Saccharomyces cerevisiae S288C: one gene and its partner. The gene in region 1 interacts genetically with each later gene. Each region holds a gene or a part of one and is shown in the gene's direction. Other genes may lie near its edges.

Region 1 (4,753 bases):
AGAACTATTAAAAAACTGCGCGAAAAGATCACCTGGAGATAGATCCGGGAATGACATTGCTTCCGTATCGAAATTTGAGGATGAACTGAACGGCCCGGCTTGTTGGCGTTGCGCCTGCGCCTGCTGCTCTTGAATCAGGACTTCATCTGTGGTACCGTACTGGTCATACAAAGCTCTTAAACGATTGTCTTTAAGTATTTCGTATGCCTGGCATATCTCTTGAAACTTTCGCTTGGATTCTTCTGTATGATTGTTTTTATCAGGATGATATTTTAATGCAGCGTTCCTGTAAGCTTTCTTAATCTCAGATGTGGATGCAGCGGCAGTAACGTTCAAAGAGTCATATAAAGACGTGTTTTGTTGCATTCTCCGTTATCTTGTGTCCACTGGTAGCAAAAGAAAAATGTGTTTTACTTTATCGTAGGTACAGTACGGCTCGTGTTGTTTAGAGAAATAATCACTGTATCGTGAGGTTGGTTTATTACCGATATAAACTGTTTGATGAATGTTGAATACTATTATAATCTATTCCTATCAGTATATAAAAGCGTTCAAACGATTTCACATACTTGTGGGAACGAAGAACGCGTCATTACCTTTTTAGTCTACAGATTCGATGCTCCAGTCATTTTTTTCCTTTATTTTCCGTAATGTTCTAGAAGAAATCGAGCGGGGGAAAAAGATACATAGAAGGATAATGTGATTAAATAAAGTTTGATGTCTAAGGCTATGCAATGGCTATGCAATCCAGGGGGGGTTACCTACTTAAAAGGGGTCGCTACTAAGTATACTATCGTCTTGACTGTCGGGTATAATTATAGGATTGCTTTTGGTCTCACCTGCCATCTGGAAGAGACTTGAAGGAGTAGATAAAAGGGACATGTCTAAGTCGCTGGCGTTAGAAGAGCAGACAGAGCTTTCATTCGATGCTGAACCCGGAGAGCAAAGCAAAGTCAGGCGCAGTTGCGTCCTCTGTGTTATAACCAGCATTAAGTATTCTCTCCACAGTTCCAACAGCAGTTGCTCCTTTCTTGCATGCGATTTGGTGTTCAATTTTCCTCTTCTTTTTGGGTGGTACAACACACTAGGGGAAGTATTGGACCGCCCCACATTCTTGTTATAAACAGATCTTGTGGTTGGGGTCGTTGAATTCTGTTTAATTGTTTTCGTCGCCGTCGCAGGCATAGTCGTCGGGAGACTACCTGGTTGTGATTTGGGTAGTTTCCTACTTATGGAGCGGTTCCTTAGATACGGTGGACGACTACTGGTTGCATACATCTGGCTTCTTAAAAATGGGATAGGAGTTACCGCAGGGTCCCTGCTAGTGAGATTTCTGATAGCGTGTAAGTTTACCGGTTGCGAAGCCAGGACATTTGCAATATCCATTTGTTCCAGTTCTATATAGTTCAAAACGGATGTCAGCTCCTTCTTGCTCCTGAATCTTGACCGTACCTTTGCTTGCCTGTCTTCCCTGCGTATGGAGTGTTGCCTCTTCAAAAACCCTTTGTGAAAAATGAAATTATGATTCTTGCTGAACTTGGAGAGTTCATTTTTGCTGGTAAAGTCTGTTCTTCGTTGTGAAGTGTGTCGAATTGGCTTTGCGTTTATGGTAGGAGAGCGAGACCTCATCTTATAATTCGACCATTGCGTAAACTGTTCCATCACTTCAGTGCTTTCAACCTGGTCCGCTTTGCTTATGTTACGGTTCCTCAAGTGCGAAGCATCGTGGTACTCCATATATGGTTTGAAGCTGTCGTGTGTTATATGAGAGTCATCCGATATTTGCACTATAGGAATCTTGGTATCTGAATTTGAATTTGTGTTCGAATTTGTGTTCGAATTTGTGTTCGAGTTCGAGTTCGAGTTCGATGTAGAATCCACAAGCGCATGTATATAACCTGAAGTGGTAAACCCACCGGTACCCAGGGGAGGTGGGAACAAAGTCGGGGGATAAGACTGAGTCCCAATGCTAGTCTCGTATGTCTCCATTGTCTGTATGGTTGTATTTCAAGACGTATCTGCAAGAAAACTGATGTTTGCGAGTTAGGAACAGGGAAAAATACATGAATTAAGAAATACGAACGATCTTAACTATTTTCAACAGTACCTGAAACATGGATGTAAAAACGTAGAAGATACCCGAATAAAGTGGGGCGCACACCGGACTTGAAACCACTCCTCCTTTACCAAGCACTAATTTAAGCTAATCTAATTTAACGCAGTACATTTTGTATGCGCGGCAGCAGCTTAATACATTGCTGTCATTCACTAATGGAAAAAAAAAAAAAAAAAAAAAATCAAAATATAAAAATAAATATTAAGAACTTAAAAAGACAAACCAGCCATCGCGTGGCGCTAGCACATATATCTTACCCGACGGAGAGCCGGGTAAAGAAGTCGGGTAACCATTAAAATAAAAAATCAGCACACCATAGCACGATCTACGAGAAACGGAAAAGTGTTAGAGATCACATACTGCATACTTGGCAAGAAGAAGGTTCGTTTTTCCCTTCTGATACTGTAAAAGATTAGGTTGGTAGAAGAAATCTACATAGTAGAACTCACACCCCATACACACAAAAAAGGCAACAATGGACAAAATCAGAGAAAAGCTAAGCAACTTGAAGTTGGAAGCCGAATCATGGCAGGAGAAGTACGAGGAGTTGAAAGAGAAGAACAAGGACTTGGAGCAAGAGAACGTCGAAAAGGAGAATCAGATCAAGTCTTTAACCGTCAAAAACCAGCAATTGGAGGATGAGATCGAGAAGCTGGAAGCGGGACTTTCTGACTCTAAGCAAACAGAACAGGATAACGTTGAAAAAGAAAATCAGATCAAGTCCTTGACGGTGAAGAACCACCAATTGGAGGAAGAGATCGAGAAGTTGGAAGCAGAATTGGCTGAATCCAAGCAATTGTCCGAGGACTCTCACCACTTGCAGTCCAACAACGACAATTTCTCCAAGAAGAACCAGCAATTGGAAGAAGACTTGGAGGAAAGCGACACCAAGCTAAAGGAAACCACTGAGAAATTGAGAGAGTCCGACTTGAAGGCAGATCAATTGGAAAGAAGAGTAGCTGCCTTGGAAGAACAAAGAGAAGAATGGGAAAGAAAGAACGAGGAATTGACCGTCAAGTACGAAGACGCAAAGAAGGAACTGGACGAAATTGCTGCATCTCTGGAAAACTTGTGATCTACTTTTGTTTTTTGTTTTCTTTTTCTTTTCCCCAACACGCTGGTCTTTGTTCCTTGTTCTTGAGCAAATCAAACGCTCATGGGCAAACGAAACTAAAATAAGAACCATTTATACAAATACAATAGCTTAGACTATACATCTGTATACTTTTCCCTTGAAGATGTTTTTGTTCTTTACCGTTTGCGTGCTGATTTATGATGTTTTTACATTGGGCGTTATTACCCGAGCGGCGTTTTGTTCGTGGGACTCACACTTGTGCCTGCTCCCATGTTAAGTTTTGCACGGTTTATCACATGGACAAAGGCATTCTCATATTACACAGCTACATGTGATATATATCGGGCGTTTCCACGTGTACAAGAACCTGAAAAGTTTATCGGAAGACTAAGTTTTGGGTTGCCCACCGTCTGTGCATCTACGTGAACACACCAGGGTTTCTCATTTCTTTTTTCTTTAAGTTTTTTTTCTCTTCCCTTCCCTTCCTTTGGTCAAATAATCTTATTTGATTCTTCAGGGTTTTAAAAAACCAGATGACGTGGATACTAAGTACTGGTATGGGCCCTCATGAGGACAAGTATGCCAAGCATGAGCGAGCGACCTTTAAAAAGACGTACAGTTCTATGAAAACGCTGTCTTTGAATCATTTAACTGCCAAGCAGCATATGCTGATGGCCTTATGCAGGGACATATCCCTTTTACCGCCGTTAACTTACATCTTCACATCTCTGCGGAAGGCTTGGAGAGTCTCCATGCGCACCAGCATAACGCTTTACGAGCCACAATCACTAAGAGATGCGTTCACTTATTTCTGGCAAAAACTCAATAGCGCTTACGACAATAACTCATCATTTGAAGGAGCTTCGCAAAAGGCTGTGAATGGCGACGGTAAGGATTCACTCCTATTATCCGCACTCACTACAGCAAGAGCGTCTGAATATCTCCTTTGCTCACTTTGGTGCCTGGTGTCTTTATACCTCTCGTATGCCATTCTCGACTCTTTGATGGTCCGATGGATCGTCAAGTACTCTACTGTGGCCGCCATTTTAAGAATGTTTTCCATGTCATTGATCATTGTCACCTTAGAACTCCTTCTTTTGTCGTCTTTGTCTCCGGAACTCGACTATTTTTTGCATACATGGATACTCATTAGTTGTGTACTAACAGCAGTGTACATTTGGCAAAGTTATCTTACCTCGGATCTGAGGTATATCAGGAACCAGGAAGGCGAAGTACAAGAGGATACTAATGTTCCAGAAGAAACAGAAGACTATGAGGATGGTGAAGATGACGCTGATGAAGACTCACATGTTGTGGTAGCCGACGAAAGTACAGTAGATGTTCCTTCCAACGACAGTCTCTCCGATAACAGTGATGGCGGATTGTTTCCTGTTAACAGGCCCTCAGTCTCTCATTCACAAAGCCCTAAAAGACCCAAAAAATATCCAAAAAAAGCATTCAATTTTACCACTAAGCGAACGATAGATCTATATAAAATCACGGTTCTTTGTGTCGTCCCTGTGGGACTAGCTAGTTTTATCACCATGTTAGGTTTACTGCGA
Region 2 (5,769 bases), on another chromosome or scaffold:
AATGGTGGCCTTCCATCTGGAAAATTGAAAAAACCTGGTTCTAATAGGCTCTGGTTCATTGATTTCATCACCTAGTTGTAGCCTATCTAGTGGTTGTCTTGCACTTGGGCTTTCCTTGTTATCACTCCTCAAACAACATCCCGTTGAAAACCCTCTTCGATATGCGCCTCCATTATAAAAGAGTCCTTTTATTGAGACGTTCGCTTGTCTGAATAGGGAACGACAAGCATATTTTCTTGAACTATTCAACATTTTACTCTCGCTTCCCAAATTCCCCTTTCTATGGTGATATTATAAAAGATCCTGTAAGCTGCTGTTTTACGAAGGTATTGTAGACGATCCGTAGCCCTCTTTAGCAATTGTTTGACTACTATCGATGGGACTTCTCGAAATTCATACTTTGTTAGGTTTTCTTTTTTATCCCTAAAAAGAGCGAAAGGATCAAGCAGAAAATTAAAACAATAGGCTACATCATCGAAGTTTCAAAGACCGGCATATCCGTCCATTTTTGAAAACACCCCACCCAAAATTGTAACTATCGACAGATTCTATGATAGCTACCCCGGGATGAAGGGCAGTCTTCTATAACTTGGGGCGGCAAGCAAACCAACCGTCATAGTTAATAAACCACACGTTGGTTATTTAGATTTCTCGTCCTGCTTTTCTGTCGCCAATAGGGCAACCTTAGAAAAGGTTTGAGGATAGTGACTACATGCAATCAAGGTAAAAGCGTTATCGAATAAGTAACAAGCATTCCGTGCTAAATTGACGAGAATTGGCAAGATGCGTCAGCACTATTTGGAGCAAACACACCAACTGGATGTCTTAAAAGTCAATTCAACGACCAATTTATGTAACCAGCGTGACTAGGGCAACGAATTTACGTCTTTTTTCTAAACTGCATATGCTATGAAATTAAAGATATACTGCCTCTATAAAAACATTTATATTTTCCCTCCTTTGCAATGGAAATGAAAACGGCGGTAAAAAAATTCGTGAGAATAAAGAGACGAGTACAAAAGTTCAATTAAAAACGCCAGGAACTGTTCTTTATCTTATTCTCTCCGTACGCTGTGTCACAAAGCTCTTGTATTGTGTCTCGCTTTCTTTTTCCAGATCTATGAAACCAGAATCACACCGCAGCAGCGACGGCTGTACCGTATTTAAGAGAATCCGCATGGGAAAAGATTACAAATTACCCTAGACAAATTTATAGAAGCGGTGCTTGTGAGATTTACTCACATTCTAGGATTCGAGAACTAAGCATTGTAGTTCTTATTTACATCCTTGAACAAATACCTGCCTATCTCCGCACGTACTACGTAGCCACAAATGTATATATAATCGTGCGTTGTATTTGCGCCCTCACCCACATATTTGACATGTGCATGAGACTGGATATTTCTTGAAGCATATTCAATAGCGTCGATGGACAGTTAGCCCGCAGTTGTATTGCATTCAGCACCTGCATAGGTGACCCTCTTTGGCTGCCTATTTGGATAAAACGCGTTATTGGCGCTGGCGCAGACCTCGAAAAAAAAAATCAAAAATGAAAATAAGAGCATAAAAATAGAAATCAAAAATATTCTTTCCTGTGTTTCAGATTTACATTCAGTACCAACATTTCGACTTGTAGTAAATCCTGCTAGAAGAATCACATTGGTAGACGGTTATAAACGTTTACCGATTTGCAAAGTTCTCGAGTATTTTTGGTGTAGGTCCCATTTTCTTCAAAGGTCCTGTTTAGACTATCCGCAGGAAAGAAATTAGAATGACCGGCTTGAATGGAGATGATCCTGATGACTACTATCTGAACCTTAATCAAGATGAAGAGTCTCTACTTAGGTCAAGACACAGTGTCGGCTCAGGAGCACCTCATAGACAAGGCTCTTTAGTGCGGCCCGAAAGAAGCCGACTGAACAATCCTGATAATCCACATTTTTATTATGCGCAGAAAACGCAGGAGCAGATGAATCACCTGGATGTTTTACCATCAAGTACCGGTGTAAACCCAAATGCAACTCGTCGGAGTGGCTCCCTGCGCTCCAAAGGCTCAGTGAGAAGCAAATTTAGTGGCCGCGAAACGGATAGCTATCTTTTACAAGATATGAATACTACTGACAAGAAGGCTTCCGTTAAAATAAGTGATGAAGGTGTTGCGGAAGACGAATTTGATAAAGATGGTGATGTGGACAATTTCGAAGAAAGCTCCACGCAGCCCATAAATAAGTCTATCAAACCATTAAGAAAGGAAACGAATGATACATTGTCATTTTGGCAGATGTACTGTTATTTCATTACGTTTTGGGCACCTGCTCCAATTCTTGCTTTCTGCGGGATGCCAAAGAAGGAAAGACAAATGGCGTGGAGAGAAAAGGTTGCTTTAATTTCTGTCATCTTGTACATTGGTGCGATTGTGGCTTTCCTGACTTTTGGTTTCACTAAAACCGTTTGTAGTAGTTCGAAACTACGTTTGAAAAACAACGAAGTATCAACAGAATTTGTCGTAATTAACGGTAAGGCTTATGAATTGGATACTTCCTCGCGTTCCGGTATACAAGACGTTGAAGTAGATTCAGACACCCTTTATGGGCCCTGGTCAGATGCTGGTAAAGATGCTTCGTTCTTGTTTCAAAATGTGAATGGTAACTGTCATAACCTTATAACTCCAAAGAGTAATTCTTCCATTCCCCATGACGATGATAATAATTTAGCATGGTATTTTCCTTGTAAGTTAAAGAATCAAGATGGCTCTTCGAAGCCAAACTTCACAGTTGAAAATTACGCAGGATGGAACTGTCATACGTCTAAAGAAGATAGGGACGCATTTTACGGTTTAAAGTCGAAAGCTGATGTTTACTTCACTTGGGATGGTATAAAGAACTCTTCTAGAAACTTGATTGTTTATAATGGCGACGTTTTGGATTTAGATCTTCTTGATTGGTTGGAAAAGGATGACGTTGACTATCCCGTTGTATTCGATGACTTGAAGACTTCAAATTTACAAGGTTATGATCTTTCGTTGGTTTTGTCAAATGGGCATGAAAGAAAAATTGCGAGATGTTTGAGCGAAATTATTAAAGTTGGTGAAGTAGACTCCAAAACCGTCGGTTGTATTGCCTCTGATGTCGTTTTGTATGTTTCTCTGGTATTTATTCTTTCAGTGGTGATAATTAAATTCATAATTGCCTGCTACTTCCGTTGGACTGTAGCTAGGAAACAAGGTGCATATATCGTGGACAATAAAACAATGGATAAACACACAAACGATATCGAGGATTGGTCTAATAATATTCAAACAAAAGCTCCTCTAAAGGAAGTAGATCCTCATTTGAGGCCAAAGAAATACTCAAAAAAGTCGTTGGGACACAAGCGTGCTTCAACCTTTGACTTGCTGAAAAAACACAGCTCCAAAATGTTTCAATTTAACGAATCTGTGATAGATCTAGACACCTCCATGAGCAGTTCACTACAATCTTCTGGTTCATACAGAGGAATGACAACAATGACCACTCAAAATGCTTGGAAACTCTCGAATGAAAACAAAGCTGTACATTCCCGTAATCCATCTACTTTGTTGCCTACATCCTCGATGTTTTGGAATAAAGCGACTTCCTCTCCTGTACCAGGATCATCGCTGATTCAGAGTCTTGATTCGACGATTATACATCCCGATATCGTTCAACAACCACCACTGGATTTTATGCCATACGGGTTCCCATTGATTCATACTATCTGTTTTGTTACTTGTTATTCTGAGGATGAAGAGGGTTTAAGAACCACTTTAGACTCTCTTTCTACCACAGATTATCCAAATTCCCATAAACTACTGATGGTTGTTTGTGATGGTTTAATTAAGGGCTCGGGCAACGATAAGACTACTCCAGAGATAGCGTTAGGAATGATGGACGACTTTGTCACCCCACCTGATGAAGTTAAACCTTACTCCTATGTGGCAGTGGCATCAGGCTCTAAAAGACACAATATGGCCAAGATATATGCGGGTTTTTACAAATATGACGATTCTACAATTCCACCAGAAAATCAACAACGTGTCCCAATCATTACAATTGTGAAGTGCGGTACTCCTGCAGAGCAGGGGGCCGCCAAACCCGGTAACAGAGGTAAGCGTGATTCTCAAATTATTCTGATGTCCTTTTTAGAAAAAATAACATTTGATGAAAGAATGACTCAATTGGAATTTCAGCTTTTAAAAAATATTTGGCAGATTACGGGGCTAATGGCAGACTTCTACGAAACGGTACTTATGGTTGATGCTGATACTAAAGTCTTTCCCGATGCTTTAACTCATATGGTCGCTGAAATGGTTAAAGATCCTTTGATTATGGGTCTTTGTGGTGAGACCAAGATCGCTAATAAGGCACAATCTTGGGTAACTGCAATTCAAGTGTTTGAGTACTATATTTCGCATCATCAGGCTAAAGCTTTTGAATCTGTCTTCGGTTCGGTAACTTGTTTGCCGGGATGTTTCTCAATGTATCGTATAAAATCTCCTAAAGGTTCAGATGGTTATTGGGTACCTGTATTGGCAAATCCAGATATTGTTGAAAGATATTCGGATAATGTTACAAACACTTTGCATAAGAAGAACTTATTATTACTTGGTGAAGATAGATTTTTATCTTCATTAATGTTAAAGACTTTCCCTAAGAGAAAGCAAGTATTTGTTCCAAAAGCTGCTTGTAAAACTATTGCCCCTGATAAATTCAAAGTCTTACTTTCCCAGCGTCGAAGATGGATTAATTCTACGGTACATAACCTTTTTGAATTAGTTCTAATCAGAGACTTATGTGGCACTTTCTGTTTTTCCATGCAATTTGTGATTGGTATTGAATTGATTGGTACTATGGTACTGCCGTTAGCCATTTGCTTTACTATTTATGTCATTATTTTTGCCATTGTATCAAAACCTACACCCGTAATCACTTTAGTTTTACTGGCAATTATTCTTGGTCTGCCCGGCTTAATTGTTGTTATAACTGCTACGAGATGGTCGTACCTATGGTGGATGTGCGTATATATTTGTGCTTTGCCTATTTGGAATTTCGTACTACCTTCATATGCGTACTGGAAATTTGATGACTTCTCATGGGGTGATACGAGAACTATTGCGGGAGGTAATAAAAAGGCACAAGACGAGAATGAAGGTGAATTTGATCACTCAAAGATTAAAATGAGGACATGGAGGGAATTTGAAAGGGAAGATATTCTCAATCGGAAGGAGGAAAGTGACTCCTTCGTTGCATAGACAGTATGAAAATATTTTTACTGTGATACTTACAAGTTGATATATGGTTGTGTGTAACTTATTTATTTGAGAGGTATTTTAACACACCTTAGAACTAAAACTTAATAAATAAATATTTCTCTATCTTTAAAGGCACATATTACGTGGCTAAGGCAATTACAGCTGATATACTGTAAAACTCATGTCGCCACTAAATTCTTCTAACACGCGTTCTGTCTCTTTCCAAGGGACTCCGAATATGCCACTATTTATCTGTGGCATTTCCAATTTATATTCCCCTATTGGGTATTTGATGTGGCCGTTTAAATAGTCACCGATTGAATCTTCACTTGTTCGAGTTTTGTCTTTTGCTTCTCTAAAGGTCTTCAATTTATCTAAAGCAAGTTTTGTATAATTCAAAATACTTTGCTTTTCTCCATGACTTGAACCTCCAAATGATGATGTAAACAAGCAACAAATCAGCAGATCTGAGTTTTCGTAACTGGGAAGTAATATGCATT

What was found. A genetic interaction does not mean that the proteins touch.
Region 2: mutations in TPM1 (region 1) and CHS3 impair growth when combined (synthetic growth defect), as found in Saccharomyces cerevisiae (4 studies listed by BioGRID, with this or other methods).

What each region holds. Positions count from the first base shown.
Region 1 is NC_001146.8:477,004-481,756, reverse strand, and holds TPM1 (tropomyosin TPM1), read left to right. Parts: upstream 1-2,591; coding exon 2,592-3,191; downstream 3,192-4,753. Other genes in the region: APJ1 (Apj1p), read right to left, coding at 1-366; NIS1 (Nis1p), read right to left, coding at 766-1,989; EOS1 (Eos1p), read left to right, coding at 3,725-4,753.
Region 2 is NC_001134.8:283,928-289,696, reverse strand, and holds CHS3 (chitin synthase CHS3), read left to right. Parts: upstream 1-1,771; coding exon 1,772-5,269; downstream 5,270-5,769. Other genes in the region: putative thioredoxin peroxidase SCO2, read right to left, coding at 1-252; POA1 (ADP-ribose 1''-phosphate phosphatase), read right to left, coding at 5,426-5,769. UniProt on the Saccharomyces cerevisiae protein: Polymerizes chitin, a structural polymer of the cell wall and septum, by transferring the sugar moiety of UDP-GlcNAc to the non-reducing end of the growing chitin polymer.